7 linked regions of the Nothobranchius furzeri genome follow. The protein of the gene in region 1 purifies or fractionates together with the protein of each later gene. This does not show direct contact. Links are inferred from orthologs where the notes say so. Each region holds a gene or a part of one and is shown in the gene's direction. Other genes may lie near its edges.

The links.
Region 2: the proteins of heterogeneous nuclear ribonucleoprotein R (region 1) and ybx1 purify together in Homo sapiens (co-immunoprecipitation; 5 studies listed by BioGRID and IntAct, with this or other methods). This does not show direct contact. The link is inferred for Nothobranchius furzeri from reciprocal best matches to the Homo sapiens genes HNRNPR and YBX1.
Region 3: the proteins of heterogeneous nuclear ribonucleoprotein R (region 1) and heterogeneous nuclear ribonucleoprotein D0 purify together in Homo sapiens (affinity purification with mass spectrometry; 4 studies listed by BioGRID and IntAct, with this or other methods). This does not show direct contact. The link is inferred for Nothobranchius furzeri from reciprocal best matches to the Homo sapiens genes HNRNPR and HNRNPD.
Region 4: the proteins of heterogeneous nuclear ribonucleoprotein R (region 1) and h2ax purify together in Homo sapiens (affinity purification with mass spectrometry; 3 studies listed by BioGRID and IntAct, with this or other methods). This does not show direct contact. The link is inferred for Nothobranchius furzeri from reciprocal best matches to the Homo sapiens genes HNRNPR and H2AX.
Region 5: the proteins of heterogeneous nuclear ribonucleoprotein R (region 1) and larp7 purify together in Homo sapiens (affinity purification with mass spectrometry; 4 studies listed by BioGRID and IntAct, with this or other methods). This does not show direct contact. The link is inferred for Nothobranchius furzeri from reciprocal best matches to the Homo sapiens genes HNRNPR and LARP7.
Region 6: the proteins of heterogeneous nuclear ribonucleoprotein R (region 1) and snrnp70 purify together in Homo sapiens (affinity purification with mass spectrometry; 3 studies listed by BioGRID and IntAct, with this or other methods). This does not show direct contact. The link is inferred for Nothobranchius furzeri from reciprocal best matches to the Homo sapiens genes HNRNPR and SNRNP70.
Region 7: the proteins of heterogeneous nuclear ribonucleoprotein R (region 1) and dhx9 fractionate together in Homo sapiens (co-fractionation; 3 studies listed by BioGRID and IntAct, with this or other methods). This does not show direct contact. The link is inferred for Nothobranchius furzeri from reciprocal best matches to the Homo sapiens genes HNRNPR and DHX9.

What each region holds. Positions count from the first base shown.
Region 1 is NC_091759.1:6,952,224-6,956,983, reverse strand, and holds the start of heterogeneous nuclear ribonucleoprotein R, read left to right. Parts: upstream 1-1,399; 5' UTR 1,400-1,550; intron 1,551-2,144; 5' UTR 2,145-2,148; coding exon 2,149-2,305; intron 2,306-2,433; coding exon 2,434-2,552; intron 2,553-2,651; coding exon 2,652-2,759; intron 2,760-2,853; coding exon 2,854-2,967; intron 2,968-4,329; coding exon 4,330-4,506; intron 4,507-4,760. Other genes in the region: atp5if1a (ATPase inhibitor A, mitochondrial), read left to right, coding at 337-449, 539-680. UniProt on the Homo sapiens protein: Component of ribonucleosomes, which are complexes of at least 20 other different heterogeneous nuclear ribonucleoproteins (hnRNP). hnRNP play an important role in processing of precursor mRNA in the nucleus.
Region 2 is NC_091755.1:32,515,320-32,520,271, reverse strand, and holds the start of ybx1 (Y-box-binding protein 1), read left to right. Parts: upstream 1-1,854; 5' UTR 1,855-2,031; coding exon 2,032-2,137; intron 2,138-3,653; coding exon 3,654-3,717; intron 3,718-3,951; coding exon 3,952-3,985; intron 3,986-4,067; coding exon 4,068-4,157; intron 4,158-4,239; coding exon 4,240-4,518; intron 4,519-4,880; coding exon 4,881-4,952. UniProt on the Homo sapiens protein: DNA- and RNA-binding protein involved in various processes, such as translational repression, RNA stabilization, mRNA splicing, DNA repair and transcription regulation.
Region 3 is NC_091746.1:62,885,041-62,889,368, reverse strand, and holds part of heterogeneous nuclear ribonucleoprotein D0, read left to right. Parts: intron 1-1,449; coding exon 1,450-1,618; intron 1,619-3,416; coding exon 3,417-3,578; intron 3,579-3,695; coding exon 3,696-3,827; intron 3,828-3,910; coding exon 3,911-4,007; intron 4,008-4,328. UniProt on the Homo sapiens protein: Binds with high affinity to RNA molecules that contain AU-rich elements (AREs) found within the 3'-UTR of many proto-oncogenes and cytokine mRNAs.
Region 4 is NC_091750.1:47,427,206-47,430,853, forward strand, and holds h2ax (histone H2AX), read left to right. Parts: upstream 1-1,766; 5' UTR 1,767-1,789; coding exon 1,790-2,296; 3' UTR 2,297-2,718; downstream 2,719-3,648. UniProt on the Homo sapiens protein: Variant histone H2A which replaces conventional H2A in a subset of nucleosomes. Nucleosomes wrap and compact DNA into chromatin, limiting DNA accessibility to the cellular machineries which require DNA as a template.
Region 5 is NC_091742.1:73,345,488-73,349,815, forward strand, and holds part of larp7 (la-related protein 7), read left to right. Parts: intron 1-34; exon of another isoform or gene 35-55; 5' UTR 56-60; coding exon 61-256; intron 257-332; coding exon 333-433; intron 434-508; coding exon 509-592; intron 593-4,328. UniProt on the Homo sapiens protein: RNA-binding protein that specifically binds distinct small nuclear RNA (snRNAs) and regulates their processing and function.
Region 6 is NC_091758.1:13,866,073-13,871,173, forward strand, and holds the start of snrnp70 (U1 small nuclear ribonucleoprotein 70 kDa), read left to right. Parts: upstream 1-1,861; 5' UTR 1,862-2,044; intron 2,045-2,320; 5' UTR 2,321-2,326; coding exon 2,327-2,473; intron 2,474-2,553; coding exon 2,554-2,616; intron 2,617-4,993; coding exon 4,994-5,048; intron 5,049-5,101. UniProt on the Homo sapiens protein: Component of the spliceosomal U1 snRNP, which is essential for recognition of the pre-mRNA 5' splice-site and the subsequent assembly of the spliceosome. SNRNP70 binds to the loop I region of U1-snRNA.
Region 7 is NC_091751.1:34,755,722-34,759,098, reverse strand, and holds part of dhx9 (ATP-dependent RNA helicase A), read left to right. Parts: intron 1-2,365; coding exon 2,366-2,477; intron 2,478-2,547; coding exon 2,548-2,709; intron 2,710-3,377. UniProt on the Homo sapiens protein: Multifunctional ATP-dependent nucleic acid helicase that unwinds DNA and RNA in a 3' to 5' direction and that plays important roles in many processes, such as DNA replication, transcriptional activation, post-transcriptional RNA regulation, mRNA translation and RNA-mediated gene silencing.

The sequences.
Region 1 (4,760 bases):
GAACAAAGTCTGAGAATATCACTAATCTGTTTTAGCACCCGAACCGGCTAGTGTGAAATGCATGCTTCAGATTTCCCCTAATAATACAGGGTAATAGAAATTGCCAAAAATAGTTTGGTCAGTATTGGCTGATATGAAAAATATTGTGGTGATGGGCATTTTTTCCATATCGTCCAGCCCTACTTCATATCAAAGAACTTCAGGTGGTATTTTGAGGATTCTCATAACTTAGATTAATTAAACATTTTGATATGTGATGCATAACCGAAAGTGTTAAAATAAAGCACATTCCTAGTGTGAGATTTACAATCACATAAAAATATTGTTTTTTTCCAGCTTGGTGAATTGGGAAAGGGAGCAGGGAAAGGTGGTGGTGGTGGAGGCTATGTGAGGTCAGCAGGAGGTGCCTTTGGAAAGCGAGAAGCAGCAGAGGAGGAGCTGTACTTCCGGTGAGATGCCAGGCATAGTGATAATACTGTACTACTACTTTCATTGTATTGTGTTTTCTTGACCGTCTCTGTGTTGCATTTGTTTGCAGGCAGAAGGAACGGGAGCAGTTGGAGGCACTAAGGAAGCATCATTCAGAAGAGATCGAGCACCACAAAAAGGAGATTGAACGCCTACAGAAGGAGATCGACCGCCACAAGGGCAAAATCAGAAAGCTCACGCACGACGATTAAGGGGGAGAGGCCAACTGTCAATTCTTTCCTGAGTAGAACCGCTTGTGAACATGTCGTTATCACTTGTACTTTCTGCAGGTCTTAGTCATGAAAGGTCCTTCTGACTCATCATGCTGAAATAATAAAGTGATTAATCTTCCTACATTGTCAAAATATGCATTTAATTCGCTTTGGATTTTTAAACATTTGGCTTGGTGTTCAAAACATGTGCATTTGTTTCTTCCAAGATAATCAAAATCCCTTTTCAGCAGTTGGATAAAAAGGAAGCATTCTTTTCCATCATCAGTGTTGTGAACGTATGTTTTCCATACTTTCAACAGAATCTTGAACATCAGTTTAAAATTTGAGAAAATAACTATCTGCATACAGATATCGTGCATTTTAAGTAGAAGTAAAATTACCTGTTGCAGTCACACTGCATGTTTTGTTTTTTAGTGTAAAAGTACAACAAAACGAGGATAATTCAATTAAACAGACAAAATACAAATGGACCAGAAAATACTCATGAAATCACAAAATTGATTCGTTATGCTGCGAAATGAATATAAGAAGTCGGGATCACAACTTCACCGCAAGTATTGCCTGCTAATACGTAGTTTTTCGTTTTATTTTTGTTCGTATCTGCGAAACAGAAACCACGGCAGCCATGATTCTCATGAAACCCCCTTCAATGATTTCTCGTTCTGGTCTCGCGATATTTGCTGAGCGGTTGCGTTGTTCGGGCGAGCCGACGACGAGACCGTTGGTGTCTGGAAAAATTGTCTCGTGGTAGAGATATAAGTACACTTTGTTTGGGCATTTTCGTTCGTTAATAAAATTAATAATTTCGCGCGCTAAACCACGGTGTAATTGGCTTCCTGAATCAGGCTGGTAAGTTTTGCTAACTATCAGTTTGGACCTTTTATGTGTTTGATATGTGAGAGGCGTTTGTCGGCACCGCGAGGCCTGCGCGTAAGCTTCGATAGTTAGCTTTTTGGCTAACTATCGCTGCTACTTGAAAAGGCACATTTTGAAATCCCCATCTTGCTTTGAAATATAGTCATTAAATCTTCTGTTAAGTTTTAATTGAGTTCGTTTTCTTTTAAAACGTGCATGTAAATATCAGAATTAAACGTATTTATCTGGCTAGTTAGCGGGCTGCATGCGAAGGAGGCGGGGCTGTAGCTATCTGTTGTTTCTTTTTGAAAACCTGGCTATTTTTTATGTAAACGTGTATATATATATATATATATATATTATATCTCATCCTTCATTTAATAGCATATACAACAATTTTAATTAATTGAATTAGCAAATGTCAGCAGTTGCGATCAAAAAGCAAGAAATCTATGAAGTGAGAGTATTTTTTGTTTGCTACAGGCTGAAAACGCAAATTATTATATGATCTCTAGATTTTATAAGTAAAATAATTACGCAAATGCAGATTAATCAAAAGACATGTCTCTCTTGATTGCTATATTGCAGAGGAATGGCTGCTGCTGAGGTGAATGGGAGTTCTGCTCCATTAAAGGAGGAAGAAGAGCCAATGGATGTGTCAATAACACACACAGAAAACTACCAAACACTACTTGATGCTGGGCTGCCTCAGAAAGTCGCTGAAAGTCTAGATAACATCTTCCAGACAGGTCAGTAATCGCTCCAAAATGAGCTGCTAAATTAAAATATATATATATGTCTCCAAATTGTTTGACATTTTGTTTTATATGTGTGTGTGTGTATGTGTTTTTACATATGTATATAAAATTTACTGTAGGCTTGGTGGCTTATGTTGACTTGGACGAAAGGGCCATTGATGCTCTGCGAGAGTTCAATGAAGAGGGAGCGCTCACGGTGCTGCAGCAATTCAAAGAGAGTGACCTATCTCATGTGCAGGTATTCATGTTTATAGGTAACATTTTAATATTTGTCTGAAGCTGTGATTGTATCCAAAGTGCTTTATGTTTCATTTGTATTTATATAATTTTTTTGTAGAATAAAAGTGCGTTCCTTTGTGGAGTCATGAAAACATACAGACAGAGGGAAAAACAAGGAAGCAAGGTACAAGAGTCCACCAAGGGTCCAGATGAGTCCAAAATAAAGGTGAATTATTTTATGCACATTTGTATGAAATGTTAAAAGTGAGCTTTAAAGTTAGATCTGAAACTAATGTTTAGTTATTGTTTTTTGTTTTAAGTCTCTGTTGGAGAGGACAGGATACACTCTGGACGTGACTACAGGGCAGAGAAAATATGGAGGCCCTCCACCTGAGGACGTATACACAGGCTCACAACCAGGGATTGGAACTGAGGTAGGAGTGCTTCATATATATATATATATATATATATATATATATATATATATATATATATATATATATATATATATATATTAGGGCTGTAGCGAAGCCTCGACGAAGTCGACGGCTCGATTCTAAAAATTTGTCGACGTCAGATCCGGAAGTCGACGCACCGCGCCCACTTTTTGCATCCCCAGGAGTTTGTAAATAGAGGAGGAATCTGCCTGTTCTTCCTCTAGTTCGCCCTCTTCTCCGCCTTCACTAACATCTCCGCCAAATACCGAAGACCCGGAACAACGTCCGTCCACTACTAGATTATTTTCCTGTTTTGCCCCTTCGTCTCCCGGCAACGGACAACAACTTCCGGGGTCAGATGCGCTGCTTCGTGTCTATCGCAGATGTAGAAAATCACCGGGAGCGCTTCTCCCTTCATTAAGGAGCTTCTTTCAGACATGAGGAGAGCTGTTTTGGTGGTAGCAGTCTCTCCTCCATGCTGGTCTGTTTGCTGCTGGGTGTTTTTGGTTTATTTAAACTTGGTAACTTGAACTTAATGTTGGTAAAGCTACTGTTAGCATCTTCGCTAACAGCTTCTTGCGTTGGGATAAGCTGTTACGTTTTGGTTTAGAGTTCATATTTTTTGTGGTGTAGATCTCCCTTTTATTACATTTAGAGTGTTGTGGGTTTTCGGTTTAGTGTAAAATATCACCTGAGTTTGGTTTAACCCGTAAGACCACTCGCCTCACGCACATAAGTGACCAAAACAAAGCAGCATGGAGACACTCCATCTTCTACCACCTCTCAGGCAGCAGCCTGCACTCCCAAGTTCTACACGTCATCAGAACATAACCAACCAACACAATAAACACAGTGTTATACAAAATGGAAGGCCTGTAGTGTTTATTCTCTTACAGTAAGAATTTATCAATTCTTTTTGAGGAATTTATTTGAGATTTTCTGGTTTTTGTTAATTGTGCAATAGAAAAATAATCATTAGATTAATTTTCTAAATAGTCATTAGAATAGTCGACTATTCGATAAAATAATCGTCAGAATAATCGTTTTAAAAATAATCGTTTACCCCTAGCCCTAATATATATATATATATAAAGTGATGAAATTTTCTGCAAACTCTGTTCATACATGGTGACCAAAATGCAGCAGAGCTTTGATCTTAATTATAACTAAAATATGAAAGACATTTGAAAATGTGCCCAAATTGTTAATCTAGTGATTTCTGGAAATGGACTATTAGGTTGGACTTGGACTTTTAGTTGACTACACCAATCCACTACTTAAAAACACTTTGTTTCTAATTTTCACTCAGTTAGATGCTGATATCATTGATGGTGTGTTTGTTTCTTTTGTTTTATTCAGGTGTTTGTTGGGAAAATCCCCAGGGATCTTTATGAAGATGAGCTTGTGCCTCTGTTTGAGTCTGCTGGTGCCATCTGGGACCTCAGGTTAATGATGGACCCCCTGTCTGGTCAGAACAGAGGTTATGCTTTCATCACATACTGCAATAAAGATGACGCACAAAAGGCTGTGAAGCTAGTAAGTCTTACTCTATAATACAAAAAAAACACTAGTCAAATTTCAGTTCCTAATAACACAAGAACATTTATATAAAGGGATACTTTGCAACTTTTTCGTAGTTTTAAAATAATTTTCATGAGCCAGTATGTGCTAAAATGACCTTTTACAGGCTCTAATTTCCCTCTGGGGTTAATAAAGTATTATTGAATTGAATTAATGAAAGGCCACTCAGCTCCTATTGTGACCAAAATATTCCACTTTCAACTTCTGAT
Region 2 (4,952 bases), on another chromosome or scaffold:
ATACCTCCCGCTCCCCACCTCAGCCTTTCTGGCAGAGGCGGGACATTACCAAGGTCCCACCCCCCCACTACACATGTCTCACTCTTGTCCCAGTTAACATTAGCCGAGGATGGATTCTCATGTAAAAGTAAACTAGATCTGAGTTCTTGTGCATCCTGCTGATCATGGATAAAAACATTCACATCATCTGCATAAGCAGACACAACTTAGGGAGGACTAGAGACAGGTAAAGGTAGGTGTAGACCTTTCAGCCTGTTCCTTAGCCGACACAGCAGTTGTTCATTAGCTAAAATATACAGTTGTCCTGAGATGAGACAACCCTGTCTTGATTCCTCTTAAAACTGGTATGGGTTGACTCAGGCCCTCCGCTACCTTCACCATACAGCTGACATTCCTATACAGCATCTTAATCCATTCCAGAAAGGACCCCCCAAAACCAAAGGCCCGTAGCCTCTCATTAAAAATAAATTGTCCATTAATTACTTTCCTGGTATTCAAAAGGACTGATCGTCTGGGATTAGACCTCCGATGAATCCCCAAAGTCTGTTTGATAAGAATTTAGAAAAAATCTTATTGTCTGAACATAACAAGGAAACTGGTCTCCAGTATTTTAGTTGGGTTAAGTCCCCTTTTTCGGCAGCAGGGACAGAACGCCCCACCTACACGATGCAGGAAGTGCTCCTGTCTGAAGTGAGTCTTTAAAAACATCCATCAGGTCCTGTCCCATACTGCTCCAGTAGAATTTGTAGAAGTCAGCAGGTAAGCCATCTATCCCCAGAGATTTTCCTGCAGCCATCTGGGAGACTGCCGTTGTAAGCTCCTCCATGGTTATGTCTGCATTTAAGATGTCTTGGTCTGCTGTGGTCAAGGAAGGGAGCCCCTGCAACAGCTCTCTGGCACAGTTCACATCACATGGCCTTAAATAGGCTGGTATAGAATTCTCCTGCATACTTCCTCATCTCCACTGGGTCTGTGGATAACTGTCCATCTGACAGACGAAGAGCAACCATTTGTTTTTTTCTGGTTTGAAAGTCTTTTCCAGGTTAAAAAAGAAGGATGTTGGAGCATCCATGTCCTGTAATGTGGTGAAACGAGCCCGGATCAAGGCCCCTTTGGCCCTCTCTTGCACGAAATGCCCAAGCTGTTTTTTTTTTTTACCAGAGACATAAAATCTGTCTAATCTAGCAGCACTAACTCCGAGAGAGAGAGAGAGAGAGAGAGAGAGAGAGAGAGAGAGAGAGAGAGAGAGAGAGAGAGAGAGAGAGAGAGAGAGAGAGAGAGAGAGAGAGAGAGAGAGAGAGAGAGAGAGAGAGAGAGAGAGAGAGAGAGAGAGAGAGAGAGAGAGAGAGAGAGAGAGAGAGATTAACCGCATGCGCTTCACACATTGGCCTGTGCTTGTAAAGGGTGCCAGTGGTGCATGAACATAATATGAGTGGATTCTGCAGTTACCTTTGTCTTTACCTGCTAATATTTATGGGGTGTTTATTTGTCTTTTCTTAGAATGTTCCCACGGTAAACATCACAATAGTAGTAATTATTTCAACTATCTAGAAACGACAAAATAAATTAAACATAAAGTTGTCACATTTGCAACATACCACATGTATGGTTCACAGTTTTGTATGACATAATTCAAAATGCATAATACTATCGGAAGTGTCACAAGCAGAATTCTCTCGCTTTTACGTCACTGGGGGCGTTGAGACTTCTGTACGTCTTTTTGACCAATAATTTCATCAAAGGCTTTGCTCAAAAAAGATTGACAGTCTCAATAGCCAATTGGAAGGAGATTTGTTCAATTCTACATATTTTAGCTAATCAGGAGACGAGATGGGCGGGTCTTCGCCTGGGAACATTCCCCTGCACTGTCTCTTGTTCTGCCCAGTTCGATCGGCAACGGGAGCGGAAAGAAGAAAGCTGAGAGCCCGAAGGCAGTAGCCCCCACCACCGCCGGCCCAGGTTACCATCTAGCACCGGGAAAAATATCAGAGAGCCGCCGCCGGCTGAAGCCATTACCAACGAGTAGTAACCATGAGCAGCGAGGCCGAGACGCAACAACCTCCACAGCCTGCTGCGGATGCGGAGAGCCCATCCAGCCCGGCACCCGCAGCTTCCGCGGGGGATAAGAAGGTCATCGGTAAGAATTCTTAGGCTAGCCGAGCCGGAGTTATCATTTATAATTTATACGCTCTTGGGTGTGGATGTAGCATTTGAATAAAAGCTGCCGTTCTTGCGTGAGAATTTCAGCCACGTCAAATTAATTTGCTCCAGTTGGTAAACGTTAGTGCCAGTTGACGGATAAATTCTTCACTCCTTTGGGCATTCTTATTATAATGGTCCAAAAAATTCAATCTAACGGTTTTTATTAGTCTAGTTTCTAAAAATTGAGTGGTTTATTCACAGATTAAATCGTGAATTCCATTCTGATTATCTCCATTGCTCATCGGCCTCCTCACGTCAAATATCCGTTTGAGAGTCGCGTGTATCCGGCCGGTCATCACATGGATGCTCGCTGTCACTTCCAACCGTTGCCAGAACCACGATGTTTTGACTAGGGTTTAATAACTGCATAACTGCATCTGGACCGCCAATAATTGCAGAACAATCCTACCAAATGCTCTATAACACCGGTTCATGTGAAATAACTACAGTGGCTACGAACGTTAGCTGCTTAACCATCTCTTTGTTCGCACGAAAGAGTCTTGATTCCATGTCAAGGCATTTTATCTAAAATATTCTCCTTTTCCAAAGCGTTCAGTCCCGATTTTTTTGGCCAAATTGTCAGAAGAAACGTTGTTGGCTAGCGACTCCAGCTACATCCGTCAATGGCGGTCTTATTTTGGTTGAATTTGCGTGCTGTCGGTGTGGCCTAAATACTTTACTATAGATCATCGGTTGCTAACCTAGCTACATTAGCCTAGCCAGCTAAGTGGCTATTTACATGGCTTTAGGGGAGGCCGTCCAAAATGTCCGCCGTGTGTTTTCCCGTTTTTTCCCGCTGCTTTGTAATTTGTTCGCTAAAAACTAATTCAAAACCGAAATCTTTATCATATATACCAATAAATACGGATTAATGTAGTTTAGTAATGCGCGTTTGTTTGTTTCTCTTTGCTGGCTCTACTCCAACCACATGGTACTAACCTTAGCCACACAGCCATGCTAATAGCCAGCAGAGCACAGCTCACAGCTCGTTAACGTATCCGGGTGCGACCCAACCACGTGTGAACCTTCAGGTTCTGCGTCCTAAAATGGAGCAGCAGGTCTGCAGTAACTAAACATGCGAGTGCAGAGACTGGTCGCTGTTTGCATCCTCATCTTTGTCATGCATTATGGGACATTTTGGATGCGTCATTTGGGACAGTTGTTGTATCGTTACTGGGATATTTTCTTACTGGTGGCTCATGTTAGGAGCAGCTGGCCCTGGGGTCTCCTAAGCATCAGTGTCTATAATAGGAGTGACAGTTGCGGGTTAAATATAACCTCTACGTTATGTGTGGCCATAGTTTTTAATGTTTTTATAGTTCTGATGTAGTTCGTTAAGTGTCCCATCATGATGGAAGCGTTTCAGTTTCACTTAAGCTATATGGATTTGTTCTAAATGCATGTCAGGCAGACGATGGTATTTAATAATCTTGTTCTGACTGTGATTGCAGCAACAAAAGTCTTGGGTACAGTCAAATGGTTCAACGTCAGGAATGGATATGGTTTCATCAATAGGTGAGTCACCTGTTGGTCCCTGTGTCAAAGTACATTTCTGGGTGTGGGTGAGAGTGAAGCATGCTAATCCTATTAAGTTATGCTTTGCGTACTTGGCTGACCATATTATTTTTCTGCTCATCTCCATCCTGTTGCAACCCACAGAACTTAATTAATCCCCACTGGCTTAGTTTTAAGTCTGTTTGCAGAGGCTCAGCAGAATGCAGCTAACTAAGATTCTGTTCTTTTGTCTAGGAACGATACAAAGGAAGATGTTTTTGTACACCAGGTCAGTTGTTGCTTTAGTTTTTATTCATTTATTGAAATTTGTGGTTAAGCAGACTTGACATTCAAACTATTTGTAATTTCAGACGGCCATAAAAAAGAACAACCCAAGGAAATATCTTCGCAGTGTTGGGGACGGAGAAACTGTGGAGTTTGATGTAGTTGAGGGAGAAAAAGTAAGTTTCTTTGATTTGTTTGTTTAAAGGACATTGTGTTCCATCATGATTAATTTACTTTGCCTTTTTTTCTTGTGCACAGGGAGCAGAGGCAGCAAATGTCACTGGCCCAGGAGGAGTTGCAGTCCAGGGGAGTAAGTACGCTGCTGACAGGAACCGTTACAGACGCTACCCACGAAGGAGGGGGCCTCCCCGTGGAGGAGACTATCCAGAGAACTACCAGAGCGACGAGGGAGAGCCTGGCAGTGGAGGACGTGACAAAGGCAGCAGAGAGGGTGGAGATAACATCCCTGATGGAGATTCGCAGCAACCACAGCGCAGACCAGCGTACCCTGGCAGACGGCGCTACCCACCATATTTTGTACGTAGTCGCTACGGCCGCAGGCCCCATACACCCAACGCACCACGCAGAGATGACTGAGGTACGCTGTCACAGGGCTAAAATCCTGAAACAGTCACCCAGTTGTCCCATTCCAAAATTAAAACCCTTTGTTGTAGACGAGCTACTCTCCTCTTCACAAACGTGGTTGTGATCAACTAATCTTGGTGTATCGGGGGTCTTGGAAGTGAGCCCCTCCTGTCAATGAAAAACAACAAAACTGTGAACAAAATCTTGAAAAAAAAAAAAAAAGAATTAAAACAAAAAACTTAGATGGTTTCAAGTTTCTAAAGTGGGTGTGTCACTAAAAAAAGCGTCCGTTATGGTTAAATGTTTGTTTTCAGGGAGGTGAGGTTGATGAGGGCCAAGGAGGTCCAGACCAGGGGAACAAACCGGCGAGGCAGAACTACTACAGA
Region 3 (4,328 bases), on another chromosome or scaffold:
AGAGACTAGGGTTGTCACGGTATGAAAATTTAACCTCACGGTTATTGTGACCAAAATTATCACGGTTTTCGGTATTATCGCGGTATTTTTTAAACGGTGTTGCATATGTTCAGAAAGCATTGATAGTCCTGTTCTACACAAACTGAAATAGTTCTGAAAAGGTTTAACAGTGTTTATTAAACCTAAAATAACACAAAGCCTTAGCAAAAGTGCAACTTTTCACAAGTAAAGGAACAAATAGCTTCTTTTTCTGGAACATGTTACAGTAGTCAGTGCAGGTTTAAATTACACAAATCTAAACATTCAAAACATAAACAATATGTAAACAAATCAAAGAAACACCACTTGTTTTCTCATATACTTGTTTTCTTCATTATCCAAATGAAAATCTAAAACTCCAGTCCACACTTGACTTGAGCACTGTACAAGTCAACCTTAAAAAATATGTATTTGAAATAAATAGCCACTTTAAACAAATTACTAAAATAACTACTACACTATGTAATCAAATCCAAATGTTCAAGTATAAATGGCATTGAATAAGTAAACAAATCAAATTGACAAGGAACTAATTGTATATTTCTCTTCATCATCAACAAATAAGATGCTTCATCCAGCAACAGGGTGTCCGTGACACGGTTTAAATGCTGGCAGAGGACGCTGCGGCTGCAGTCTATAGTGACTCGTTGCATTCTCCCTCAGCCAAAAGTCCTCACGTCATGCATTTGAGCTAAAATGCTAATGTTAACTTACCTTGCACTGGCTGTAGAGACGTGGGTGATGGTCACGCAGATGTGCCATTAGATTCGAAGTGTTGCTGCCTTTTGCAGACACTTGTTTCCTGCACGTTCTGCAAACGGGATAGCCGTCTTCTATTAACTGTCCCTCAGCATTTTTCAGAAATCCAAAATATGCCCATACTTCCGATTTAGTCTTCTTTGAGGGCTGATGGATGTCCTGGGCGCTGCCGTCTCCTCCTTCGGCCATTATTTCAGCTTCAAAGTTTTGGTGCCGTTGCAAACTAAAAAGTGCGTGTGCGCGCCGCGGGAACTTCAGCTGAAGCGACGGTGGCTGGTAAGGGTCACCGCGCCGAAACCGCGGCCACGGTAAACCCACCGAGATAATTTAGTTTTTTAAAAACTGGACGGTTATTTTTATTGTCAACTTTTTTACCGGGGTTTACCGCTATACCGGTTACCGTGACAACCCTAGAGGAGACCCAAAGGGATGACCCAGGACACAGTTGGAAGAACTACATTTTCAGCTGGTCAAGGAACACCTTGGGATTCCCCTAAAGGAGCTGGCCCAAGTGGCTGGGGAGAGGGAAGGGTGGGCCTCTCTGCTTAGGCTGCTGACCCCCAGATGGCAGATGGAGGGGTGGGAAAAATGCAAGCTGCTCTTCACAGACACTGATTTTTATATTTCCTGACCCATTTGTTTCATTAATAGGAAGATGTTTGTGGGAGGCCTCAGCTGGGACACCACTAAAAAGGACCTGAAGGATTACTTCTCAAAGTTTGGGGAGGTTGTTGACTGCACATTAAAACTGGACCCCATGACTGGTCGATCAAGGGGTTTCGGCTTTGTACTTTTCAAAGAACCGGAAAGTGTTGAAAAGGTACGGTCCTTCTTTTATTTTAATGCTGCAAAACAATAAGTGTGGAGCAGGAGGTTAATCTAGAGTTTATTGAATGATACTCCTTTATTTCATGCCTCAAGCGTATTCATCAGCAGGAGGCACTCCTTCTAGAAATGAACCATTTTCCAACAGAAAGCTTCTGTGCTTCTAGATCATTTGCAACCTTTGCAATCCAAAGAACTTTTCTCCTCAGTCCACCTTAATAAAACTTGTTTAGAGCTGCAAATGTTACAGGATCCTTTTGAGAAGAAACCATTTATAATTCTTGAGTGATGTCTACAGAAGAGAATTAGGGTCACAAAAAACGTTCTTCTTAGAATTCAGAGAGAAAAAATTGGAATTATGAGATTAAAATTGGAAATTAGAATTTTTCTGAGAGTAAAGTCAAAAATTGTATTTTGTCCTCTTTCGTAAATACCTAGCCTAGAAATGTTGACCAACCGTAGTAGAAGCAAAAGATTTTGGTCTGCAGGTCGGTCTAGTCATGCTCCATGTTGCCTCAGCAGGTCTACAGTTGGCTCGAACATTTGGCTTAATGTAAGAGCTGCAGTGGAGAAAAACTACGAAGATGGCAATGGTTTATAATCTGCGCTTGTTTTCAATGGCTTTGGCATGAACTTTGGAAAATTAGACTTGGGCTTCTCTTTGAGGCATGAGCAGATAGAGGTACAAACAGCATGTGTTTGCTTCTTATGTGTATGGCAGACTGATTTAAGTAGCGATGAATATGTTATATTGTTCGTTGCTCTTATTGGTCCTAGTACTGTCCAGTAGCATGCAGAGGCCGTTTGAAAGACAACTGTAGATCCCGCCCTATGACTGAGCTCTGTCTATGGGTCGTGGTACTACACATATATAGGTTGGGTTGCTGCCAGGATAATAAATATAATAGATTTGTTGTCATTTTTTGAAAGAAAAAATAAAACTTCAATTTATTTCATTATTAGTTTTTTAAAAATTAGATTGAGGGAAAATAAATAAAACTTATAGAGGCGTGAATCTTCACTAGTCTCATGACTCGATTAGATTCAATATCCTGATTCATAACGATTATTTCATATGGGTTTGCTTTCATTGATAAATAGAGGATGACAGATATGTGCTTTTAAAAAATCTGACACAACACACCATCCCCCAAAAGCTCTTCGTTCACAGCAGACTGTAGGATAATGTAAGAGGGTAAAACATTTATAACAAGATAAAAAATCTGTTTCCTCATTCAGTAGTCATGCCTCAGGCTGTGGGAGAAGCATGCTCTGCAGATGCAAAAAACCCAATTGGACATGTCTGTAATTTAGGTTATAAAATCCATAATGGATCCATATATTAGGTTTTAATGTCTTTGAGCTGCTTTAGTCACATGTTTGTGCCAAGGTACAAGGGCGTAAGAAATAAATAACACCAAAGGAAATGTTTGGCTTTGTTTGTTATTTTATTTGAACCCAACGGTCTCATTTCAGAAAAGTTGGAGAGTGGATCAAATTCTGTTCAATGCAGAAAATAATAAAACATAAAAAATCCTATTTCATCACAACATCAGCAGGAGGCTGTAGGTTGAATTAGGATTAAATCACAGCCTACCCAGATGATGGACCACCTTCACTGACCTGACCTGTGTGACCTTTATTATCTCCTCATATCCACGGTGTCTCTGTTGATGTTCGCAGCCCGAAAAACGAACCCTGACAGTTGTTTGATCAAAAGGCCAAACCATCCATAGAACTGTTGATTGACTCTACGTTTAACTGGTTTATTGTTGGCGTTTGTCCTCATGAAGGTTGCATCACAGAAGGAACATAAGCTCAACGGGAAGGTGATCGACCCCAAAAGAGCCAAAGCCATGAAGGCCAAGGAGCCTGTGACGAAGATCTTTGTTGGTGGTCTGTCTCCAGATACTCATGAAGACAAAGTCAGAGAGTACTTCAGTGCTTTTGGAGAGGTGTGACACATACACACACACACACGCCTCACTTTATATTCGTTAAGCTTTTGCTTGCATTTTCCTTTTTAAATAAAACCCAATATATCATGAATGCATTCACTATGATTTAATCAGGTGGAGTTGATTGAACTTCCCATGGAGAACAAAACTAACAAAAGGAGAGGCTTCTGCTTCATCACATTTCTAGAGGAGGAGCCAGTGAAGAAGATTATGGAGAAGAAGTACCACAACATCGGACTCAGCCAGGTGCAATCACTTCATCCAATCAGATTTCATTATATGACTGTACCTTAATGAAGACATAATAAATTAATAATGTTTGACTTTAGTGTGAAGTAAAGGTGGCTGTGTCAAAGGAGGTGTACCAGCAGCAGCAGTACTGGGGAGGCAGAGGAGGATACTCGTCCAGGTCCAGAGGAAGAGGAGGTGAGTTAGGATGGAAAACTAAAACATTGCTCTTGCTAGTTTAACATTTATGTCTGCCTCCACCTGCTGGGTTTCTCACTGAGCAGAGAAGATTGTTTCCTTATCAAACGCACAAGAACTGTATCAGCAGAACTGTTCAGGCTGAAACATTCTAGAAAAACTTCATTAAAGATAAAAACAATCGGTAAATAACTCCATTTCAACATTTTTTTAAACTTCATGGCGGATTTTTTTTCTAAGCTTGGTCCTGAAATGTCTGAATAAAGCTGCAACTTGTCCTCACCGTTGTGTGGACATAAAGGGCATGTTTGTTGGTGAGAC
Region 4 (3,648 bases), on another chromosome or scaffold:
TACTCAGACTAATGATGTAAATGCACTTTGGACTGATGCTTTATTTGTTTTTTTACAGCACATGTAAAATTTTGTTGGGTGTAAAATGATAATTTATTATTCTGTGTGATTTATAAACCATATTATTTATTTCATCAACCCAAAACAAGTCATCCTCGCTGCATTGCACTGTAAAATAGTGACGTTGGCATTCTTTTCTATGCAAATTTAATTTTGAAGACCTTTAAGTAAGTTAATATAACTTTCTCTGTTAAAATGTGTTGTTTATTTGTGATTACTTAAAAATTACTTTTAAAATTCATGTTTAATCGCATAAAAAGCAGAGAAGATGGTGTATTTATCGTAATTTTGTGTGATAATTATTTTCTGTGGAATATCATAACTATGGTTTGATTTTGATAGTTCAGTCAGCAGGCATCTCGTGCTGGGCAATAAGCTTAATCTGTAAAAAATAAAAAATAAAAATAAAGAAAGACTATCAACTTTAAAAATAAACATGTCGGTAAACGATTTACAATGATCAGGTATAGCTGAGTTGCAGCAGCTCAGTGCTTCACTAAGAAAACATATTTTACAACAAACAGTCACACATTTGATTAATTTATATTACACAAACAGCAAAATGTTGTATTTAGGAGAATTATTGTCATAAACATATTTAATTCAATCCACTTGGACTGTCAGGGTTCAGCTCAGGCAATTAGAACCAAGTTTAAGAGTTTTTTATACGTGGAACTGCTCTCAGGGCTGGAAAAAAAATATTAACAACTAGACACACAAAATGATAATTGCTGCAGCAATCAGAACCAATTGTAAAACTGTACATATGATTTTTTTTCTCTTATAAAAACCTCATTTGAAATAACTGCAATAATTTTGGGACCTCATAACAACCAAAATCAATTATTCAATTACTGTGTTTTTAAATAAATATTTAATCTGATTAAATATTATCAAATGGACATGCCAAACATTAAGCCAGTACTGTATGGACAATACTGTCAAACTAATTAAAAATGCAGAACAGATCAAAACCACTCTCCTGCCTGAAAGCACACATACATATACATGTAGTGATATGTGAATGTAATTTGAAAAAGTGGCTGTAAAATTCAAGATGTGAGGCCCCAGTTATATTTTGAAAATGTAATTTATTGCAAATAAATTATTTTTCAACCCTAATGTTGATTGTGCACTTAGTTAATATGGTCTTGTTTTTGTAAAAGGTATATATTTTTACCAGTAAAATGGTTATTTGCTGAGCTGCCTAGGATTAGCTTCGTCTCAGTGGGGGAGGATGGTGGAATTTTCCATGTCTTGCTGGCCCTCCCTCACACAGTTTGTGCAGTGTAAGCTTACTTCAAGCACATTTTGCGCATTTTAATAAATTGTCCTCATGTATAATTGTGATACATGTGTCACCACATTTCGATCTTGGTCAAAAACCCTGACAACATTATTCAATACTTTACTGTATCAATACTCATTAAATCGCTTGAAATGTTCACTTTTCGTTCGGTAACGCGCCAAAACGTTTAAAGCTGGAGGGAAGACCGTCTATTGGTCTTCCTTCTGACACGTGACCCGCGTGAAACTGGGTGAACAAATAAACAACCAATTACCTTTGTCTATTGGTCAGACTCCTCGATGATTGGTGTAGAGCCAGAGCAGCCAAACCAATAGTTACTGGCTTCCTGGAACGTTTGATCTCCTAAAGCCAAACAAATGAGAGCTTCTCTCTCTAGCATCCAATAGTAGTTTGGGGCGGGACTAACGTGGAGGCTTATATATGGCTCGGCGAGCCTTTTTTCTTTCTACTTTGCGATTTTCTGCATTGAAATCATATTCGTGGAAGAGATCTTCAACAATGTCTGGAAGAGGTAAAACCGGTGCTAAGGCCCGCGCCAAGGCGAAGACCCGCAGCTCCCGCGCCGGTCTGCAGTTCCCTGTGGGCCGTGTTCACCGTCTCCTCCGCAAGGGAAACTATGCTGAGAGAGTGGGCGCCGGAGCTCCTGTTTACCTGGCTGCGGTCCTCGAGTATCTCACCGCCGAGATCCTGGAGCTGGCTGGCAACGCCGCTCGGGACAACAAGAAGACCCGAATCATTCCTCGCCACCTTCAGCTGGCTGTCCGTAACGACGAGGAGCTGAACAAACTGCTCGGTGGCGTGACCATCGCTCAGGGAGGCGTGTTGCCTAACATCCAGGCCGTCCTCCTGCCCAAGAAGGCCGGCCAGGCAGCACCCAGCTCCGGCAAGGCGGGAAAGAAGGCGTCCTCTCAGTCTCAGGAGTATTAGCTTCACGGCTAACCACAATGAACCCAAAGGCCCTTTTAAGGGCCAACCACCGACCGAAAGGGCAACTTTTCTAGTTTATCAATGTCGCTCAAAGCATATTTTGTTTGGGTTATTGAAGGCTTGTGTTAAGGTAATTTCTTTCAGGCTAGATCCTTTGCTAAGAAACAAGATTAGGCTAAATTTCCCCAGTTAGCCTGAAATGTCACTTGAAAATCTTCATCCTGAGTTTATTTTTCATCCTTGAATGTTATTTAAAGTAGCAACTCTTCTGCAACTGACCAGATCCAATGCTAGCTGCACACACTGGCAACTAAACATTTGTTATGCATTGCACTCAGGTTCTCAGGGCTGCTGTATGTTTTCATCATGTGAAACGCCTGTTCACAACAAAACGGTTTCATTAAAAGTTCTGCAAGACAACATCTGTCACCTGGAAACGTGTTTGTGTGGTGGTGAAGTCTCAAATGAAATGTACTAACGGCTGTCTATTCAAGCAGCTCCAGGTGTTTCCTTATTGCACATGGAGAAAAACACGCGAGCAGATAGTGTTAACATTCATGGCTTCCTCTGTGGTTTCTTTTACACGTTTTTCAGTTCTTGTCCCTGTACCACTGACTCAACTTACTGGACTGAGGGGTGATGAGCAGTCCGATAAAAACTAACTTCAGAATCCCTGCAGAAAAAATAATAGTACTTGCAAAGTAGTAAATTGCCTGTATTTGTATAGCCCTTTTACCCCAACCCCCCCCACACACACACACACACACACACACACAGTCATTCACCCATGCACGCACATTCACGCTGGTGGTGATGGAGATCCGGTGTAGCTACAGCTGCCCTAGGGAACACTGGCAGAGGCGAGGCCTGTTGTACACTGGTTCCTCCGACCACCACCAGACAAGGTGGGTTAGTCGTCTTGCCCGTGGACACAACAGCAGCATTCTCTGACAGCAAGGGTCAAACCTACAACCTTCTGATTACTGGACATCCCACTCTACCTCCTGAGCTGCTGCTGCGTGTCCAAATCATCACTTTCAAACATTAAAAGAAAAATCTGGAAGCTGTGTATGAAGACATGAGGAGTGTTATGTTTGCTGAGGTGAAGGTGGGGATGTTGTTCACTGGTTTTACCACCAGAGGTTGACTGCTTCCTGTGAGATCTGCACGTGCTTCATTCTTCCCCATGTCTTCTTCCATACTCTTACTCCACATGAAAAGTCTACGACAGATGTGTGAAAGCTTCATCGTGTCCACACAGCACATCTGACAGCAATAGTTTATACGTAGGTGTCCCAACAGATGTGGTTAATTCAGTTTACCTGAATTCATGCACCTTTCAGCCGGAGGGT
Region 5 (4,328 bases), on another chromosome or scaffold:
TCGTCTACTCTTTCTGAATGTGTCTGTGTTAAAGAGCTCCGCTGTCACCCCACAGCCAGGATGCTGAACACAGAGAAAGAAGCAGCTGATGCAGTAACATCTATGGAGAAGAACAAGGAGATGGAAAGAAAAAAAAGGTCTCGAGTTAAACAGCTGCTCAGCGACATAAAGAAGCAAGTGGAGTTTTGGTTTGGAGACGTCAACCTGTACAAGGACCGCTTTCTGAAAAAGCTCATCGATGAGTCCGACAAAGGATGTGAGTGTCTGAAAGTGCTAGTTCTAAATCTCAGATTGACTCGATCAGAGCTTGACGTGTTTTCCACTTCTTGTAGATGTTGATATTTCTGTTTTGACGAGCTTCAGTCGGATGAAGAAACTGACAACTGACACTAAACTGATTGCCAGAGCACTGAGAAACTCATCTGTAGTGGAGGTGATGACTTTTTTTATTCTCGTTACTCGTGACTGTCACTGTTTAAATGACATTCTAAACGCTTTTGTGTTTTAGCTCAACCTCGAAGGAACTAAAGTCAGACGTCAACATCCACTCGGAGACCCACCGAAAAACGTCGACGACCGCACAGTTTACGTGGTAACAACAAACGAAACTCTGCTTTAGTTGCTAATTTTTACATTGGGTCATTTCAGATGATGATATGTTTTTCTATTTATAAATCCCATTAAAAAAGATCAAAGAGTCCATAAAACCCAGCATTTTTGGTGAATGTTCAGTCATCCGGGTCGTGGTAACCCAAAATGGTTCAAATGAAGGCAACTGGACTTCTTTGGTTTTTTGAAGACGTTTCGCTTCTCATCCAAGGAACTTTGTCAATTCTGACTGGAATACGGGAGAGTCAAGTTTATACGCTGTAGCTATCTGTTGTTATTTAACGAGCAGAAACTACTCTGAAAACCCCTCCTCTCGTCCCCCGATGAGTCATTAGCCTCTATTGTGAGGGAGTCGTGTTGATTAGATGCAGGGGGGTGTGACCTACAGTGGGGCAAACAAGTATTTAGTCAGCCACCAATTGTGCAAGTTCTCCCACTTAAAATGATGACAGAGGTCAGTAATTTAGATCATAGGTACACTTCAACTGTGAGAGACAGAATGTGAGAAAAAAAATCCATGAATTCACATGGCAGGATTTTAAAAGAATTTATTTGTAAATCAGGGTAGAAAATAAGTATTTGGTCACTTCAAACAAGGAAAATCTCTGGCTCTCACAGACCTGTAATGTCTTCTTTAAGAAGCTTTTCTGTCCTCAACTCGTTACCTGTATTAATGGCACCTGTTTGAACTCATTATCTGTATAAAAGACACCTGTCCACAGCCTCAAACAGTCAGACTCCAAACTCCACTATGGCCAAAAACAAAGAGCTTTCCAAGGACACCGGGAAAAGAATTGTAGACCTGCACCAGACTGGGAAGAGTGAATCTACAATAGGCAAGCAGCTTGGTGTGAAAAAATCAACTGTGGGAGCAATTATCAGAAAATGGAAGACATACAAGACCACTGATAATCTCCCTCGATCTGGGGCTCCACGCAAGATCTCATCCCATGGGGTCAAAATGATCATGAGAACGGTGAGCAAGAATCCCAGAACCACACGGGGGGACCTGGTGAATGACCTGCAGAGAGCTGGGACCTCAGTAACACAGGTCAACATCAGTAACACACTACAACGGCAGGGAATCAAATCCTGCAGTGCCAGACGTGTTCCGCTGCTGAAGCCAGTGCATGTCCAGGCCCGTCTGAAGTTTGCCAGAGAGCACATGGATGATACAGCAGAGGATTGGTAGAATGTCATGTGGTCAGATGAAACCAAAGTAGAACCTTTTGGTATAAACTCAACTCGTCGTGCTTGGAGGAAGATGAATACTGAGTTGCATCCCAAGAACACCATACCTACTGTGAAGCATGGGGGTGGGAACATCATGCTTTGGGGCTGTTTTTCTGCTAAGGGGACAGGACGACTGATCCGTGTTAAGGACAGAATGAATGGGGCCATGTATCGTGAGATTTTGAGCCAAAACCTCCTTCCATCAGTGAGAGCTTTGAAGATGAAACGTGGCTGGGTCTTCCATCACGACAATGATCCCAAACACACCGCCCGGGCAACAAAGGAGTGGCTCCGTAAGAAGCATTTGAAAGTCCTGGAGTGGCCTAGCCAGTCTCCAGACCTCAACCCCATAGAAAATCTGTGGAGGGAGTTGAAAGTCTGTGTTGCTCGGCGACAGCCCCAAAACATCACTGCTCTCGAGAAGATCTGCATGGAGGAATGGGCCAAAATACCAGCTACTGTGTGTGCAAACCTGGTAAAGACCTATAGTAATCGTTTGACCTCTGTTATTGCCAAAAAAGGTTATGTTACAAAGTATTGAGTTGAATTTTTGTTATTGACCAAATACTTATTTTTCCACCCTGATTTACAAATAAATTCTTTAAAAATCCTGCCATGTGAATTCATGGATTTTTTTTCACATTCTGTCTCTCACAGTTGAAGTGTACCTATGATGAAAATTACTGACCTCTGTCATCATTTTAAGTGGGAGAACTTGCACAATCGGTGGCTGACTAAATACTTTTTTGCCCCACTGTAGACTGAAACTAATAAATAAAAAACTAACAACATCCACTGCAGCAAATAACGTCTGCAAAGCATAACTAACAGCAGTTAGTAGAGTTGGACATGTTTGAATAGGAACACATTCGATTCCAATTACTTGTTTCAATTCTGGTTTCGAGTGATTTAGATTCTTTCAATAGACAGGGTCAAAAAACGTACAATGTTTTAAATGAGCCGGCTAACTATAGGTCTTACATGATGAAATAATCTGAACGTCCATCAATTTTATATACTTTGCAACATTTTTATATTTTTAAATCATTTTCTTGAGCCAGTATGCGCTAAAATGACCCATTACAGGGTTAATGAAATGTCACTCAGCCCTACCGCCCACTTTGGCCAGAATACTGCACTGCAACTTCAGAGTGGTGGGCCGCCTCCTGTTGCACTTAGTAGAGCGGAGCTGACAAACTCACTGGAGTCTGCTTCCAGCAGGTTTCCTGCATGTTTTAGATGCCAAAAATGAATCGCCCCTGTGGACACTAATGAAGCCTGGGGAGACATTTCAGCTGTTGGATTAAGGGGTTAAAAGGACCAACGCACAGCAAGGAGAAATGTTTCATTTTTTTGTTTTATTAGTGGACACTAGGAGGTGCTAAAAGCACGCCAGTACTGCATGTCGCGGTCTAAAAGTGACATTAGAATTTGCCTGAGAAGGAGCAAATATAGAAGGAAAAAGGATTGGTCCCAGGACCGAACCCTGGGGATCCTTCAATGAGCCGCTGTTACAGTGGATGAGTATTTCCATGCAGCCTTTTAAATGCGTCCCTGAAGAGTAGTGTTACATTGTTCTACAAAATTTTTGTTTCAAGTCTTACTTTTTACTCTCTACGCTTCCAGAACGCATCAAGCTCAGCAGTTCACATCAGGGCAAACAGGAAGTCATACAAAAGCAGTGTAAAACATCTTGAAACTTTCACAATAAAAGTGGTGTGAAAATTTCCAGTTGCTTAAAGTACAAGTTACCCTGACTGGAGTCTTACTGCACTGCACCAGTGACCGACAATGACATCACACACACGTTGCTCGGATAGTGAAACAGCAGCAGGCTTCCTAGTATGAAGCATTTCTTCACCAGAGGAAGGAGAGGAAAACAGAAGGATTAATGGAGGAGGTGAAAGGCTCCGAGCCGTATCGTTTCGTATCTTCTTGTGAGAGGCCGAGACTCATCTGCGGTGTAATGCGGCCATGCTAGAAATACTGGCTAGCCTAGATAATACCAGCTTAGCAATTAGCTATGACTGAAATTCAAATGTAGTTCTGACTTTTAACCTTAAGAGGGCACTACACTGGCAATTTTAGGCTCATTTTAAAAATTAGAAATAAGATGCAATAAAAACCACATTAAAGAACGTAAACCCTTGACCTGTTGGAACACGGGGCCGTCTTCCTGCTTGATGCTCATATACTGCTAGAATCAGGTGTAATTTTGCAGTTCTCCGATGACAATGCGGTACCAGCTTTGTGGAAGGCTTTCGCTGCCATTTCACATCTGAAACGCTCTTGGTGGGAAGGGATGCTTTGCTGAGCTCACAGGGAAAACGCATCTATTTCACTATGAAAGTTGATTGTTGCAACTCACTTCTCTTTGGTCTCTCAAGCAAGTCCCTCCATAAACTGCAGCTTCTCCAGAATGCTGCAGCACGTCATCTAGGACTCCATGATCTCACCACATCGCCCCCATCCTGCAACAACTTCAT
Region 6 (5,101 bases), on another chromosome or scaffold:
GGCGGTGGCAAAACATCTTTTTTTTGCCTCCACATTCAGATCGGACCATTTTTTTACATCCGCCACAGATCTCTCTGAAGAACTCAGCATTGACAGCTTCAGCAAAGCTGTGCCATTCCGTGGATTTTCTCTTATTTGTTTTGCAAAAGCACTTCCTTTCATTTCTCCACCTCACCCACAAGTACCTCAATTTCTGCTTCTGTGAAATACCGCTTCCTTGATCTGCGGTCGACATTGTTAATGGCGGAGCGCTGCAACAGCCGGCTTATGTATATGCATGAGATCCACAAGGCACTTTGCATTGAACATTTATGGCAGAAAGTGGGCATGTTGAGGGCGGGACGTGATCCAGAAACACTTGAGAACCTTTCTAGATAGTTTCTGATTTATAAAGCGGAGATTGCTTGCAGCTGTGCGTACTCCATGTTTGGTAGGTCACAAACCTGCTTGGCGTGAGTACATTCGTTTGCTGAGCTTAAGTACGGTTTTAGTAAGGATTCTACGCCATGTTTTATAAATGAGAGAGGGGCCTCATTTATCAAGCTTGCTTACTCACAAAACGGGGTCGGAAAACTGCGTGAGCAACTTTCCACGCAAACTTTGGGACTTATGAAAGAAAACCTGGCGGAAAAATGTGCGCAACGTTAAGGTAAGGTACCTACCTACTGCTCCAGATTGGTGTTTGGTGGGGTGTAAAATTGTGGTTGTACATGAGTTTCCTGCGTAGAAGAGCTTGTTTAAGAATGGGCGTCAACTTCATTGGCAGTTTTTTCTATTTTAAAATCACATGTAAGGACAAACTCAATTCCTCCAATCATATCAAACACTGGAGACAAAAGCTGATACCGATAGCGTTAGCTTGTTTTTTCTGCCATGTGCTCATTTTAGCCTAATTACAATGTTGCAGTTTCACTACTAATAATGTTATTCTCTCTAATAAAATAAAACAAAACATAAAATGCATTTGCAATTTGCTGTAATTATGCGCAAATACCCTTTGCTGAATTTGTGTGCTTTCCGTGGTGAATCCATTCACTGAATATTTTCAATCGGTAAACTTTTCAAAATGACCAGTCAGAAAACTTGTATTTTTAATTGAGATACCGCAACTGGAACAGGAAATAGCGCCGCCTTCAGTTCCGGAAAGCAATGGCACCTTTATGGGGAGAAAAAAAAGTTTCAAAAGATCTGTGAGTGTGTATCTAAATTTGTGTGTGTAACTCTTGATTTGTAACTTGTGTTTACATTTTTGTGTGTAACTTCAGTTCTTACACATACAAATCATTGAATACACACACACAAATCACCTGGTAATCACGGACAAAACTACATTACACACAGATCAGTTCCTAAGTCCAAAAATACTTTTAAGACTCTTTTCACACCTGACCATGCACCTGACTGATTTGTGCGCACATGGTGTGTTTGAATGCTGGATGGAAGCTGGGAAATTTGAATTCCTTTGGGTTTAGTCTAAACTTGTGTTGACGGGACAAATATGGTTTTCTGTGGAAAAATAGAGTATCTCAGGATCCTGTAGTTATACGAGATAAACCTACATTTAAATTTAAATTTTCTAAAATTGTTTATTTAGACATGTGTTTGTGAGCCATGAGAACATAGTGAAAGGGTTATAACAAATGACTAATAAATGGCAGAGTGGTTCTCTGACTGGAAAAAAGCACGGTTCAAAAGGAGAGAAGGCACGAGATGTCTCCTTTTGAACCTTTTCCATATATGGTCGTACCCTGTGCCCACTCCCCGCCCCGTGCTACAAGCTGCAGCGTAGACCTCCTTCTCTGTGAGCTTGGCGGTGTTCTCGACTTTACGGCAGTCTTTGTGGTTTACGACAAAACCGCCATTTTGTGTTGTTGAGAGACGGCTAACTAAGACATTTACACGAGACACGTTGGAGCTTTGAACCTTTAAAATTAAACCGCTGCTCGGACCCTTTAGAAGCACATCTTGCTTTGGAGAACTGCCCACTCGGCATCACCTCAGGTCCATGGTTTGATTTCGGTCGAACACCGGAGGAGAGAAGAAGGTAAGACGTAGCGAAGCTCGTGTTAGCATTGTTAGCTTAGGCTAAGACGAAGCGCTTCATAAAGTAAACGAAGAAAGGCAACAGTGCAAGTGAGAACGGACGTTTTTATAACTACAGCTCTACTATCAGTAGTTTTCATCATCGGGTCTAAGTTAGTTATGAGCGGATTTAACCAGGTGAAGATGAACCACAGTCATCAGAGTGTCGCTAGCTGAGTACCCGCCGCCCCTGCTCTGCGGTCGGATTGTGTAACAATCACACTCTGTCGTGTTTCAGTGAAAGATGACACAGTTTCTACCGCCGAACTTGCTGGCCCTGTTCGCACCACGGGACCCGATACCCTTCCTGCCGCAGCTGGAGAAGTTGCCCCATGAGAAGCATCACAACCAACCGTACTGCGGCATCGCTCCGTTCATCCGACACTTTGAGGTGAAACGCGCTCTAGTCGGTTTTCCTCTTCCTACGCTCGTCTCTGATGTGCCTCCTAAATGTTTGTGTTCTGGGATCAGGACCCAAGAGATGCCCCCCCACCGACCAGAGCAGAGACCCGGGAGGAGCGCCTGGAGAGGAAGGTGAGACCATCACTAGATTAGTGCAGGTATAATTAAAAGAGCAAATTGCAGGTAAAATTTGTTTTCTAATTCATGTAAAATGCTGTCCAAAAATACTAGCCGAAATGCTTATTGTGGATATTTCGTTTATGAACACACAACGGCACAGTTTTAGGAGTAAAAAGTGACTTTTCTCAGCAGAGCTTCTAAAAACGCTCCTTTTTTACCTGTCACGTAACTAAAGCCTCAGCTCAGTGGAGCAGGGTCCAGCCAGCCGCGGGCGTTTCTACTTGGGCTACAGAAAAACGCCTTTATGGGGGTTACTGTAGCTTCTCACCAACCAATCGGAATGGGCATCAAAATACGTAATTTCCCCTGTTAGACGTGTCAAAATAAAAGTCTAAACTAATTGATCGTGTGGCACCGCCACGGCAAAATAAAAGTCCCCACACCTCTCCTAATGTCTGAAAGAAGCTCCTTTACAAAGGGAGAAACGCTCCCGGTGACTTTCTACATCTGCGACAGAGACGGAGCAGCGCATTTGACCCCGGAAGTTGTTGTCCGTTGCCGGGAGACTAAGGCGGGCAAAACAGGAAAGGAATCTAGTAGCGGACGGACATTGTTCCTGGTCTTCGGTATTTGGGGGATGCTAGTGAAGGCGGAGAAGAGGGTGAACTAAAGGAAAAACAGGCAGATTCCTCCTCTCTTGACAAACTCCTGGGGATGCAACAAGTGGGCGCGGTGCGTCGACTACCGGATCTGACGTCGGCGAATTTTTAGAATCGAGCCGTCGACGCTTCGCTACAGCTCTAGTAATTACCCAACTTGTTCTTTCTGTATCTGATCTTTATTCGGGTTACTGTTGGCCCACACCTTAACTCCAGGAAAATCAACGTTAACAATCTCTTCTCTTTCTAAACAACCAAACCGAAACTCTCCACACAATCGGCAGAGAACACCCCCTCCAACACAAAAGTCCAACCATAACAAATCGTAACCCGTTGGTACAACAATGCAAAGCCAGAGAACAGATAGATGAGCAGAGAAAATCTCTTATTTTGGAATATCTGAGGTGAAGTAACATTTCAGGAGCGAATACGACGAAGTGGGTGTTCCTGTTTTGTAGGGATGTTCTCGTTTACAAACCACAATGCCCCTTTTAGCAGCTGGCCCGATGATGTTGGCTCAGTGTGTGTTTACTATGGTTGGTTGTGTTCATGTTGATAAACTAGAGTGTGTGAGAGTAGAGCTGCACCAACTCCAGCCTGTCTGGACATCGATTCCCCGGGTTTCCAGATAAGAGACACAACGCCTCTATCTTCGTGCCTGAGGGCGTTTCTGTAGCCCGCACCGGTCGGTACCGAGTCAGGGAAGTCCACGCTGGGCTCCGGAGACCCGTGGCGAGATTTTAAAAAAATTAAATGCAAGTTTTTGGAAGTCAGTTCTTCGTCAGAACCGATCACCAGAAGCGACGCGTGGCTGAGTCGAGCTGCCAAGCGTTAGCAGCGCGCTGCCGGTTACCGGCGGTTCTTACGGCTCGTTTTCTTTCACTCACCTAAGTTTTATTTCATGTTTTACTTTTTAATTCACACTGAAAACACAGCTGTAGGGGTTTGAAACGCTAGAGAGAAGCTTCTCCTTTTACTCAGACGTAAATACTCCCAGTGTTTTGGATTGGGGTCCTTCACCGGCTTCCAGCAGCAGCGGGCTGCCCGCGGAGGTGCCTGGCTTTAAATCGGCTCTACTAAAGAGACTTATCGGCCGATGATGAAAAAATGCAAAATATCGGCCTGATAAATCGGTCGACGCCTAGTTAGCACACAAGTTTAACCGTTAACTCACAAGACATGGGAATTGCTTTGCAACACTCCCAGGAGACGGAAAAGTCAGAGAGCGAAACGTCTCTTTCCGTGCGTTCGCGTCTCCCACCTGGAGCTGGCGCACAAGTATAACTTGTTACCTGAAACAACTGAGATATAACTGTCACTGAAACACACACGGTAATAGTTATTTAGGTTCATTAACCTGGGCTTTTTCAGATGTCTTCTGTCAACGTGCAAACACAGAAATGTGAACATTACCCCCAGGAGCCAGCGACCTGTGAGGCTTCTCACTGCTAGGTGCTCTGCTCTTTTCAGCTGAGTTTACGATGACAAACAAAACACTCAGGTCCTAACGCTCTGTGTGAACATCGGTGCAGCAGAATGCCTGATGACCCACCTTTCTGTCTTAAACACAGCGCCGCTACTCAAACATGTAATTAGGTGAAGCCCTCGTTTCTATATTTGACACCCATCAGATCATCATTCAGAAAACGCATCAGCGGCAGGTCTGGATCATGTCACGCATCCTTTTGTTTTCCTGTTGTGACTCAAGAGTTTTATGTCCTGTTTTTCAGAGGCGGGAAAAGATCGAGAGACGCCAGACGGTTTTGGAGACAGAACTGAAGCTTTGTGAGTGGGACATCAGATGTGTGCTGTGGTGCAAGGGTTTATGTTGACGCTAT
Region 7 (3,377 bases), on another chromosome or scaffold:
CCTTCTGACTCAGCTCTCTCTTCACCACGACAGACCGGTACAACGCCCGCATCACTGCAGATGCAGCACCAATCCACCTATCGATCTCAAGCTCCAGTTTTCCCTCACTCGTGAAGAAGACCCTGAGATACTTAAACTCCTCCACTTGGGGCAGGACCTCATCCCTGACCCGCAGAAGGCATTCTACCCATTTCCGAATCAAGACCATGGCCTCAGATTTAGAGGAGGTAATTCTCATCCCAGCTGCTTCACACTCGGCTGCGAACTGCTCCAGCGAAAGCTGAAGATCACGTTCTGATGAAGCCAACAGGACCACATCATCTGCAAAAAGCAGAGACCTGATCCTCAGGCCACCAAAACAGATCTTCTCCACTCCTTGGCTGCGCCTCGAAATTCTGTCCATTAAAGTTATGAACTGAACCGGTGACAAAGGGCAGCCTTGGCGGAGTCTAACTTTCACTGGTAACGAGCCCGACTTACTGCCGGCAATGCGGACCAAGCTCTGACACCGGTCATACAGGGACCTAACAGCCCATAACAGAGGGCCTGGTACCCCATACTCCCGGCGTAGCCCCCACAGGGCCCCTCCGAGGGACGCAGTCAAACGCCTTCTCCAAATCCACAAAACACATGTAGACTGGTTGGGCAAATTCCCACGCACCCTCCAGGATCCCCCTAAGGGTATAGAGCTGGTCCAGTGTTCCACGGTCGGTCCAGTGACTGGTCTGATGGGCATCCTCCCCCACCATCGAAGCCAACTCACCACCAGGTAGTGGTCAGTTGACAGCTCCGCCCCTCTCTTCACCCGAGTGTCCAAGACAGGCGGCTGCAGGTCAGATGAAACAACAACAAAGTCGATCATCGGGCTTCGGCCTGAGGTATCCTGGTGTCAAGAGCACATATGGACACCTTTATGTGTGAACATGGTGTTCATTATGTACAATCCATGACTGGCACAGAAGTCCAATAACAAAACACCACTCGAATTCAGATCATGGCCGTTCCTCCCAACCACACCTCTCCAGGTCTCACTGTCGTTGCCCACATGAGCGTTAAAGTCCCCCAGCAGAACGAGGGAGTCACCAGAAGGAGCGCTCTCCGGCACCCCCTCCAGGGTCTCCAAAAAGAGTGTGTAGTCTGAACTGTAGTTTGGTGCAAAAGCACACCCATCCCCCCACACGTAAGCGGAGGGAGGCTACCCTCTCATTCACTGGGGTAAACCCCAACGCACAGGCACCAAGATGGGGGGCAACTAGTATGCCCAGCCCTGCTCGGCGCCTCTCAGTGTCTCTGTGTCTTACAAACACACCTTACCGGCATGGCGTTGCACAAATTTAGCATCATTCGTTCGGCCCGCTTGGTAATAATGCGGTAATTGTCTGCCTAATAGACGGCGCGACAGAGGGAGGCGTCATGATGACGTAGGGAGTTAATGCCGAGCTCCGGCCAGCAACTCGATAGAAAATGAAAGTAAACTCCGACTGCAAGTTTTGCGTTTTGAACAAAAACAGCTGAGACAGCAGAGTGAAGGCTGCAGCCATCCAAGAGCTTCTCTCCGTTAGAGCTGGAGCTCAGATCACCAGAGACCACACCGGGGCTGTGGAGGACGGACACAGTTAGGAGCGGCTTGTTAAAAAATACGTAACCATCGTGGCTTCAATTGCAGTAAAAACTAACGGAAGTCCGTGGCAGCGCAGAGACTGCCCTATACCACCGTTATGCCGCCACAGTACTGCCACGGTCTGACCACCTAAAAACGACCTAAGGCTCCCTGACGCCGCCATGGCGTTGATTGTTTAGTTGAAACAGCTTGTGATATTTGGTGTTAAAGAAAAGGATGTTCTGATGTTGGAAAGACTCCCTTGAACTCATGTTGTCATATCTGTGAAATCTGAGTTTCCTTGTGAAGGAAAGGGAATCGTGTAGAAAAAAACACTTGACTGTACTTTACCAGAAGCTGGGGGCGGGATCTTGAGCATGTGACATCACATGTCGTGTGTTTCTGTTGAAACGGAAGCTTGTTGCAGCAGCTCACCTGTTCCTTCCAGGAGCAATCCCCTCATCAGGCAGCAGGTGACCAGCAGAGTGACTGGAGACCAGAAAGTCCCCTGATCGAACCAGTTAAAGCTGCCCTCGTTGGACGGGAGCTGCACATCGGGTTCCTCTCATATTGGGACCCGAGCTGGGCTCCATGTTGGTGCTTATTAGTGCGACTCGTGCGTATGAAACCGTCCACCGTGTGCTACACTAGGGGTACCCGGACCAGAGGTGGGAGGGGCTTTCTAACGGAGGCATTACTGGAACACCTGGTGGTAATCTGTGGGATGCTTCGGTGGTTTGAGCTGATTTAACCTTTGTGTTGCAGAGCTGGACGCTCTGGACTCCAACGATGAGCTGACTCCTTTGGGTCGGATTCTGGCTCGGCTGCCCATCGAACCTCGGCTGGGGAAGATGATGATCATGGGCTGCATCTTTTAGTGGGTTCCTCTCTGGTTCTCCTGACTTGTTGCCTCTGATATGGGGTGACTGACGTGTTTCTCCCCTCAGTGTTGGAGATGCCATGTGCACCATCTCAGCCGCCTCCTGTTTTCCGGAGCCGTTCATCAGCGATGGGAGACGCCTCGGATTCGTCCACAGGAACTTTTCGGGGAACCGCTTCTCGGATCACGTGGCGCTGCTGTCGGTCTTCCAGGCCTGGGACGACGTGAGGTGAGTGAGCCTCAAAGGTTTTAATTACCTTCTGGATCTTCACCTGATCCCTCATCAGTCTTTTGGTGGCTTCATGTTTTGTTTTTATATAAATAAATATATAATCTGGTCTTGATTCGGAAAAGGGTAGAATGCCTTCTCTGGGTCAGGGATGAGGTCCTGCCCCAAGTGGAGGAGTTTAAGTATCTCTGGGTCTTGTTCACGAGTGAGGGAAAACTGGAGCGTGAGATCGATAGGCAGATTGGTGCTGCATCTGCAGTGATGCGGGCGTTGTACCGGTCTGTCGTGGTGGAGAGAGAGCTGAGTCAGAAGGCGAGGCTCTCGATTTACCGGTCGATCTACGTTCCTACCCTCACCTATGGTCACGAGCTTTGGGTAGTGACCGAAAGATCGAGATTGCGGACACAAGCAGATGAAATTATCTCCATCGGGTGGCTGGGCTCTCCTTAGAAATAGGGTGAGAAGCTCGGTCATCCGGGAGGGGCTCGGAGTAGACCCGCTGCTCCTCCACATCGAGAGGAACCAGTTGAGGTGGCTCGGGCGTCTGGTCAGAATGCCTCCTGGACGCCTCCCTGGTGAGGCGTTCCAGGCACGTCCAACCGGGAGGAGACCTAAAGGTAGACCCAGGACACGGTGGAGGGACTATGTCTCTCACCTGGCCAGGGAAC